Linked DNA regions of Danio rerio. The protein of the gene in region 2 purifies or fractionates together with the protein of the main gene of each other region. This does not show direct contact. Links are inferred from orthologs where the notes say so. Each region holds a gene or a part of one and is shown on either strand. Other genes may lie near its edges.

What was found. The genes of interacting proteins can lie anywhere in the genome.
Region 1: the proteins of phgdh (region 2) and epn1a purify together in Homo sapiens (affinity purification with mass spectrometry; 3 studies listed by BioGRID and IntAct, with this or other methods). This does not show direct contact. The link is inferred for Danio rerio from reciprocal best matches to the Homo sapiens genes PHGDH and EPN1.

The regions. Positions count from the first base shown.
Region 1 is NC_133191.1:13,118,892-13,122,804, forward strand, and holds the end of epn1a (epsin-1), read left to right. Parts: intron 1-579; coding exon 580-831; intron 832-906; coding exon 907-1,376; 3' UTR 1,377-2,445; downstream 2,446-3,913. UniProt on the Homo sapiens protein: Binds to membranes enriched in phosphatidylinositol 4,5-bisphosphate (PtdIns(4,5)P2). Modifies membrane curvature and facilitates the formation of clathrin-coated invaginations. Regulates receptor-mediated endocytosis.
Region 2 is NC_133184.1:50,067,473-50,073,031, reverse strand, and holds the start of phgdh (D-3-phosphoglycerate dehydrogenase), read left to right. Parts: upstream 1-2,005; 5' UTR 2,006-2,070; coding exon 2,071-2,208; intron 2,209-5,559. UniProt on the Homo sapiens protein: Catalyzes the reversible oxidation of 3-phospho-D-glycerate to 3-phosphonooxypyruvate, the first step of the phosphorylated L-serine biosynthesis pathway.

The sequences.
Region 1 (3,913 bases), on a different chromosome or scaffold from region 2:
GTAATTCAGTTACTAGAACAGTACTCTGAATCATCTGCTGTGAATAAGAGACCTGGTGATGATGAGTACGAGCAGACAGTCTGTTCCCTCGCAGCTCACTCTCTGATTGAGTGTGATTCAACCTAAGGTAGTTTTTTCTCCGCAGTATAATTCGTAAAAGCCAATTAAGCAAGGTAAAAAGTAACTCGCGTTACATTTTTCTGAAAGTAACTCAAATAATTTGATTACTTAATAATTTGCTTGTTACTTTTAAAAAGTAATATTATTACGCAATATTCGTTACTTATATCGTGTTACCCCAACACTGCCTGTGAGTGGCCTCTGTGCCCACAAGTACAACCTCAAAAGAAAGGCTAAAGTAGCTTAGCACTACTACTAAAGTAGCTCGGAGGCAGAATTTTGATCATATACATAATTATTCAGATCTTATTTCAGTTTTAGGTGCTTTGATACAGTTGAATCTATTGTGGGTAATAATGTAGGGTTTAGCAAAGGATTGTTTGGACTGTAACCCCACCTCAGTTAAACAAATATGCTGTTTGCCTGTAATTGTTTTTTGCCATTTCCCCCCACACACAGCAGATCCAGAGAGAAGAGGTTCCTCAGTGACATGTGATGCAGGAGGAGGTGGCAGCACAGGCTCTCCTGTGCCCTTTGACCTTTCATCGATTGGTAGCTCTTTGCCTGTTCGGAAAACACCAGAGTCATTTTTGGGGCCCAACGCAGCACTGGTGGATTTGGACTCGCTAGTATCATCAAAACCCAAACCAAAACAACCACCCCCACCAAGCATCTCCTCCACATCTAACAACCCCTTCCTCCAGACACAGGGTGTGTTTTTAAAACAATTGAATAGAAATTGTGTTTGTTTGCTTTTCCCTCTAACATCTTTCTTTCCTCCATTAGGGCCTTCCTCAACAGGTATGGGAGTTACCCCAGGAAGTACCATTTCAAGTAGAGGAGTATCTCCGACCCCACCTTCTGCTTCTAATCCTTTTGGCGCGACCCCAATGGCATCAATCTCCCCTCAACCCTCTTCACTTGGTCTGAACCAGCTGCGTACAAGCCCCGTTCCCCCAAATCCCATGCTGGGTCACATGCCTCCGCCAGTAGTAGGAATGGTTCAGCCAGGAATGGGCATGCCAGGAATGGGGGTCCCTATGGCGGCCCCCGGTTTAAGCATGGGAATGGGCATGCCTTACGGTGGAATATCCCCTATGGGTCCAGGAGGAAACCCCTTGCTGATGGGTCCAGGAGGACCTGCGCAGCCTTCACTGATTTTGGGCGGGCCATCAGGAGTGGGCGGAGTAATGGGAACAGGGGGATCCATGGGAGGTGGAACCACAGGCACAAGCACCAATCCTTTCCTTCTTTGAGAGATTTCACCAATCCCACTGGCCCTGTGCACTCAACAACCAATCCGAACCTGCCCTACCAACACAAACAGTTTGTGTTCAACAAAAACAAATGTGTGTTCATCTCTATATTTAATGAAAAGTAAAAACAACAACGTGTTCTTTTCTGTCACAAACAGCATTTCAGTTTTGTTTTGTTCTTTTATTTCCCCCGTTTTATTTGACAGTATTTGAAGTCTATTTATTTCCCTATTGAGTTTTGGTTTCTTTGACAGACATGGATGATTGGTGGGTTCATTCAATGAATGCAGGCTGTTAATATTGTTATATTATTAAGATGATTGTTGTTGCTCAGAATCAGGAATATGAAGAAATGGGAGGAGGAAAACAAGCCACTAATGAACTTAATCACACACCCTGATTTCTCCCCCCCCTCCTTTCATTGATGATGGAAGAGCCGGTGGCCCTCTAAAGAAAGAGCGCATGAAGGATGTCTGACGGACTGGCCCTGAATGGATTCAGAAGGATTCGGCTGTCCGTTTTATTCACAACTCTAGTAAAAATCATTTGATAGATGTATTACTTTTAATTTAATTTAATGTGTAATCTTGTGTAATTTATTTTAATCGTATGTCTCTGACTCCTGGAAACGATTAAACCAAGGAAAATCGCACTGGAAATTGCCATTGAAACAGATGCCTGCTCGGTCTCTGGCCTGCAACATTTCAGTCCATACCGCATGGTTCATACACACATGAGGAGTGAGTGTGTTTATGTGAGAGAGTGTTTGACATGTCCAGTGTTTCACTTGGCCCACTGCTTTGCTTTTGATGGGGTAATCAGCATTGTCTTTATAAGAGTCCTAATTTTCAGCCACTTATTTTTGCAGTCGTGAAAAAAAAGAAAGAAAATCGAAGCATTAATTCAACACCTGTTCACTTGAGAAACAGCGCTTGTCTTTGCATTTCACTTCAGCACCTTTGTCCTTCTACATTCACACAGAAAACAGGAAAGTGTTAACGCTTTTGAAACTGAAAATTGTCTGAATGATTTTGTGAAATCAGATTATAAAAATGGGGACTGAATGATACGATCCATGCTGTTATCCTTTATTTACTTTCAAATTATTTTATATATATAAATATAAATATATATGAACATTTTAGAGATATTTCTCTAATATTGGCTATGGTCAAAAAGTGTGTGGTGTTGACTGTGAACATTCACATAAAAAAAATAAAATGGAGAAAAAAAATCAAAAGGAATTTAAGAAATAAAATAAAAATCCACAAAACAAAATTGTCCAAGCCTATTTTGTTGCATTGATTTGCTTTAAAATCATTAGTATTTCCTTTAATTGTTCTTTTAATTAATTGCTATGTGACAACATGTAATAAGCAATAGAATTCATTATTTCATAATACACAAATATATTGTCATAATACACTCACAGGCTACCTTATTAGGTACACCTGTCCAACTGCTCGTTAATGCAAATTTCAAATCAGCCAATTATATGGCAGCAAGCATTTAGGCATCAAGATGATCTGCTGCAGTTCAAACCGAGCATCAGAATGGAGAAGAAAGATGATTTAAGTGACTGAACGTGGCATGGTTGATTGAGCGCACAACCATCTCTAGGGTTTACAGCAGGGGTGTCAAACTCAATTGCTGGAGGGCCGAAGCCCTGCACAGTTTAGTTCCAACCCTGCTCCAACACACTTACCTGTAGGTTTCAAACAAGCCTGAAGGACTCAATTAGTTTGATCAGGTGTGTTTAATTAGGGTTGGAACTAAACTGTGCAGAACTGCGGCCCTTTCGGAAATGAGTTTGACACCTGTGCTTTACAGAGAATGGTCCAAAAAAAGAGAAAATATCCAGTGAGCGGCAGTTCCTTGTTGATGTCAGAGGAGAATGGCCGGAGTGGTTCAAGATGATAGAAATGCAACAGTAACTTAAATAACCACTCGTTACAACCGAGGTATGCAGAAGAGCATCTCTGAATGCACAACACGTCCAACCTTGAGGCGGATGGGCTACAGTAGCAGAAGACAACACTGGGTGCCGCTCCTGTCAGCTAAGAACAGGAAACTGAGGCTACAATTCGCACAGGCTCACCAAAATTGAACAATAGAATATTGGAAATGTTGCCTGCTCTGACGAGACTCCATTTCTGCTGCGACATTCGGATGGTGGGGTCAGAATTTGGCGTTAACAACATGAAAGCATGATCCATCCTGCCTTGTATCAACTGTTTAGGCTGCTGGTGGTGTAATGGTGTGGGGAATATTTTCTTGGCACACTTTGGGCCCAATAGTACCAACTGAGCATCGTGTCAACACCACAGCCTACCTTAGTATTGTTGCTGACCATGTCCATCCCTTTATAACCACTATGTACCCATCTTCTGAGGGCTACTTCCAGGAGGATAACGCACCATGTCATGAACCACAAATCTTCTCAGACTGGTTTGAATATGACAATGAGTTCACTGTACTCAAATGGCCTCCACAGTCATTAGGAATCAATACAATAGAGCACGTTTGGGATGTGGTAG
Region 2 (5,559 bases):
ATTTAATGAAATGCCACTTGTCATTTGAAGTGATTGCTAAAAAAGAACCAAAGTTTTTAGTTAAAGACAAATACATTTACAACCTAAAATTTAGTTATAAAAATATAAGAAACCTGTTTCAGTCAAAGAAAAGAATCACTCCGAGGGAAAAGTTTCTTTGGATTTCTCTAAATGCCTCATAAATGTAACACACAAATTTCTGCCATCCAATTTTTTATGCTTTTCTTTTAACTGTCTTGTTGCCGTAAACAATACATAAATAATATTTTAAAATACTTGGGGATGGACATGGTAATAGTATAAGCTCTGTCATGTGCTCTGTAATTGATCAGATGCTGGGGCTTGTGTAAAGAATTAGTCCAGCTGACCCATTATAACCTTCTTTTAATCCTATATTCACATTTATTCTCAAATAATGAGCAATTGTGTGATGCATATACTTAAAAGACATGAGAATCAAGCAGATAGAATAAGAGCTGAGGGGGGTGGTGAAAACTTTTAAACAGGATGAAGATATTAGTTTTTTCTAATTTTGTTGAAATATCTTGTTTTCCTTCATTTAGCACCGCCCTTTGAAAATGACAGAAAATATTAGGATTCATCCTGGTTCACAAATTAAGTGCGATTTACCTTGATTTTCAGATTCTAAAAGTTCCCCCCCCCCACATCTTAATGCCTTGTGTTTCCCTCTGGAGCATCAGTTAGGGTTTAAACCTTTTCTAACAGTTGTGTTTGAGTCCCTCAATCAACCTCAGTGTGAAAAGATGGATCTCACAGTCACACAGCCACTGCTGAAAAGGGTTCAAATCTGCAGAAGATGCTGGGAAGCTGAAGAATCTGCAAGAGATTAAGGAGATTGAGGAAGAGCAGCAGACAGTTTAATTGTTCGGAACAGACAAGAGAGTCATGAACAACCATCACAAAGCACTGGTAGATCATCAGGAAGCCACGCTGTATTGAAAATACAAACTTTTGCAGGGGGTGATGTTAATAATTTCAGCTATATTTTTGTGTAGTGTACTCTATGTAAACATATTTTATGTAAAATATCTTACTTGGGACAGTAGTAAATAAAAAAAATAGCAAGATTTTGTATGATCTCTCTTATTTTGTTCAAATTATTCACATTTTAACAAATTCTTCAAAGGGTGTGTAAACTTTTCAGTGCAACTGTGTCTTCTTTTGTGAGGAAACAAGCAATAAGGGTGAATAAATGATCATTTTGTTCTGGGTGAACTTTTTTTAATGTCTATTAGAATGTACAGTGGGCAGTGGGTACCACAGTTGCCTCACAGCAAGAAGGTTGCATGGTTTGAGCCTCAGCTGGGTCAGTTGGAGTTTGCATGTTCTCCCCGGTTTCCTCCAGGTGCTCCAGTTTCCCCCACAAGTACAAAGACATGCACAATGGGTGAATTTGGTAAGCTAAATTGTCCGTAGTGTATGTGTGTGAAAGGGAGTGTATGGGTGTTTCCTAGTGATGGATTGCAGCTGAATAGGTGTCTGCTGCGTAAAACATTTGCTGGATAAATTGGCGGTTCATTCCGCTGTGGCGACTTCTTTATATTTAAGAGACTTCAAAAGAAACTTCAAGTAATCAGCCATCTTAACTATTGTATGGTTAATTTCATGTTTGTAATGTTTTTAGAGTACAGCTGCTTTAAAAACAGTGTAAATGTACTTTTACATTTCCTTTTTTTTAGTTGTTTACAATTTATTTCTTAGTTTTTCAAGTTGCATGTTACTACAAGTTACACAATCATGTAAACACAGCAAACATTTTACATCCTAAAGTCTTTCCTAACATCCCATCCCCAAACATCTTCTCTAAAATTTGGATCATAATTCAGGTCTGAAGGGGCTAAAAGCTGTCTTTCCTTTCTTGTGAGCCATAAAACACTGGCACATCAGTGTTACTTCTGTTTCACAGAGGCAGGGGGGGAGTTTTTTTTTGGGAGGCGCGGTTGGGCGGAGTTTCTCTTTTATTGAAAAAAGCGTTACGAAAATCAGCGGCGCGCGCGCACGCGATCATTCATTTGAAGCGAGAGTCGAGTCCGCAAGTCCACGATAATAATGGCTCCTATATCAGTCAAACGCGTTTTAATCAGTGAAAGCGTCGATCCCTGCTGTAAAAGTGTTCTCCAGGAAAATGGCATTGAGGTGACGGAGAAGCAGCAGATGACTAAAGAAGAGTTGATTGCAGAGATTCGGGTAAGTGATTCACATTGCCTCTAAAGTATTATCAAGTTTGAATCGCTGCCAGTGAATGGCGTCCTGCAACAGGAAAATCAGCATTTTATGAGATGTATATAATTATGTGTGTTTGTTGGATGTGCTGAAGTTTTTGTATGACTGTCACCCCTCCTCCTCCTCCTCTCCAAGAGTCTGATGCAACAGCAGCCTCTATCTGCACCATATGAATCATTTCAATCGATTCTCTACTAATGGTTTTATTATATATTAGGTAGACAATCAGTTTGCAGTTGCCGATGTTTTTTACTGTTTGAATTAGTTTTCACTTCTGCATTTGCTGTTTAATTATTACATTACCTTCAGATTTATATATTTATTTGTGCTGATATTCACTATATTTGTGCATATAGACTCCCTAATTTTTTATTTTTAGCATGTATCATTTACTTGGCAGAACACTTCCCCCCCTGATTATGATGTAAACTTATTAAACAAACATTAAAACTGGTTTTCAAGCATCAAAACAAACAAAAATTACTTTTACTTTTGTTTTTCAAAAAAAATTATGTCCGCTGTATATATAAATATATATAAAAAAAAAAAAAAAAATATATATATATATATATATATATATATATATATATATATATATATATATATATATATATATTTAAAAATATATAACAAAAAATATTTCCCAAAGGATGTTTAACAGAGCAAGGAAATTTTCACAGTATGTCTGATAATATTTTTTCCTCTGGAGAAAGTCTTATTTGTTTTATTTCGGCTGGAATAAAAGCAGTTAATAATTTTAAACACCATTTTAAGGACAATATTATTAGCCCCTTTAAGCTATGTATTTTTCCTGATAGTCTACAGAACAAACCATTGTTATACAATAACTTGCCTAATTACCCCATCCTGCCTAGGTAACCTAATTAACCAAGTTAAGCCTTTAAATGTCACTTTAAGCTGTGTAGAAGTGAATATCTATAGTCAAATACTATTCATTTACTCTTCACCTAACAGAAATTGGAGAAAAAAAACAAAAAAAAAAACGGGGTCTAGTAATTCAGGGGGGGCTAATATTTCTGACTTCAATTGTATGTATGTATGTATGTATGTATGTATGTATGTATGTATGAAAACTCTTTCTTTGTATATACTATCAATACTCTTTTAGTTTTATCAATACTTTGGATAAAAGCACTATACAATGTGTTGTCAACATTAAAAGACAATAGAAGTATATTCTCTGTTGAAGCTTTTAGCCTATACGGTCAGTCCATATGTCCCATTTAAGTTTATTGTCCAACATCACACCCAAATTTATATAATATGTTACTAACTGAATGTACTCCCCATTAATTAATGTGAGGTGAGTTTGGCTTTGTGCTCACTCTCAAAAATCAATAACCATCTACTGGTTTTAGAAATATTTATAAGATTTGGTTTTTCACACCAGTCTGAAAAGAAGTCAAAAACAGGCCCATGTTCATCCGCCTCTTCATTTAAAAGGCTCGCCAAAGCAGTGTCATCTGCATACTTTACAATATACTGTATCTTTGATTTAAGTGAACTCATACAAGAATTTGTATATACAATAAATAATAACACAACCCTGGGGAGCTCCAGCTGAAGCGCATATTTTATCTGAAATAAAACCTCCCATTTTAACCTGTTGGATTCTAGAGCTAAGAAAATGGTCACCCAGGCAATCATTTAAATGTCTAATAAAAATTATTTCATTTATTTGAATTTTGGCGTCTTAATACTAATTAATTATGATTTTTAAATGCCACAATACTTCAAGCAACTATTATTTTTACTTGTTTGTCAACAATAGTTTCTAAAAACAGTATAAATGTAATAAAGTAGACACTTTACTTGCATTTAATTTGCTTTCTTTGTATATAAAGTCCCTCTTGAAATGTGTATTTGAGACGAGAATGGGATGTTGCATGCATGCAATTTGTTTTTATATACACACACTAGATTTTTAGTTCCGAAAGCATGGACAGTACTAAGTAGGCCTGTCATGATGAGTAATATTTGTTGCGTGATGCTGTAGAAATTATTGCAATAAGTGATATTACTGTCATTTTAAGATTCATACCTGCTTTTATATGTTATACACTACCTGACAAAAGTCTTGTCGCCTATCCAAGTTTTAGGAACAATGAGTAATAATAACTTATAAATAATAACTTGACTTCTAGTTGATCATTTGGTATCAGAAGTGGGTTAAATGAAAGACAAAGGCCTCTAGATTACACTTATTTTACCAAAATGAAATATGATCATATCTTGATTTTTAATGATTTAATTAGGACAGTAAGGTCTGACTTTGCTTAGACAAAAGTCTTTTCACTTAACAGAAATAATGTCCAGTCTAGAATATAAAGTCATGCAGTGGAGACAGAATGAATATTGTGTCTGACTCCCATGAGCTTGGAGGACTGCATCCATACATCTCTGCAGTGACTCAAATCACTTATTAATAAAGTCATCTGGAATGGCAAAGAAAGCATTCTTGCAAGACTCCCAGAGTTCATCAAGATTCTTTGGATTTATCTTCAATGCCTCCTCCATCTTACCCTAGACATGCTCAATATTGTTCGTATCTGGTGACTGGGCTGGCCAATCCTGCAGCACCTTGACCTTTGTTTTCAGGAACTTTGATGTGGAGGCTGAAGTATGGGAAAGGGATACCTCAGGCTATTGATGTTGCCATCCACTTTGCATCGCACACCTACATACTGAATGTAACCCCAAACCATGATTTTTCCTTCTCCAAACTTGACTGACTTCTGTGAGAATCTTGGGTCTCTGCGGATTCCAGTAGGTCTTCTGCAGTATTTGTGATGATTGGGATGCAGCTCAGCAGATGTTTCAGCTTTTCCAAATGTTCAACTAGATGTCAAGCTGTTGTTTGTTGCTCTTACAACTGGGATTGAAGACAAGATTGTTGTCAGGCACACATTAAAGGGACAAAAACGCCATTTAAATGTTCTTGTAAAAATGTTAGTTATTCTTTATATCGTCAATTTTCTGGAAGTGGAATGCAGATTTAAAACAGAGCTCATTTGGACACCTCCTAAAACGTTTTCAGGCAAATTTGAAAAATCACCTTTTCCTCACCTATCAGTAAACATTGTTTGAAAAAAAAAAAAGTTTCTCTGAACTCGCTGGGACCTCCGGGGGAGATTAGATGAGATGACATAAGCTGCACATTCAGATAAAATGTTTAAGATATGAATTTTTATCTAAACATGATGTACGATATATACTGCGTCACTACAATTGATTGAGGTCATGTCCATGTTTTGCACAATAAGTCAATATATTGATTATTATGACAGGCCTAGT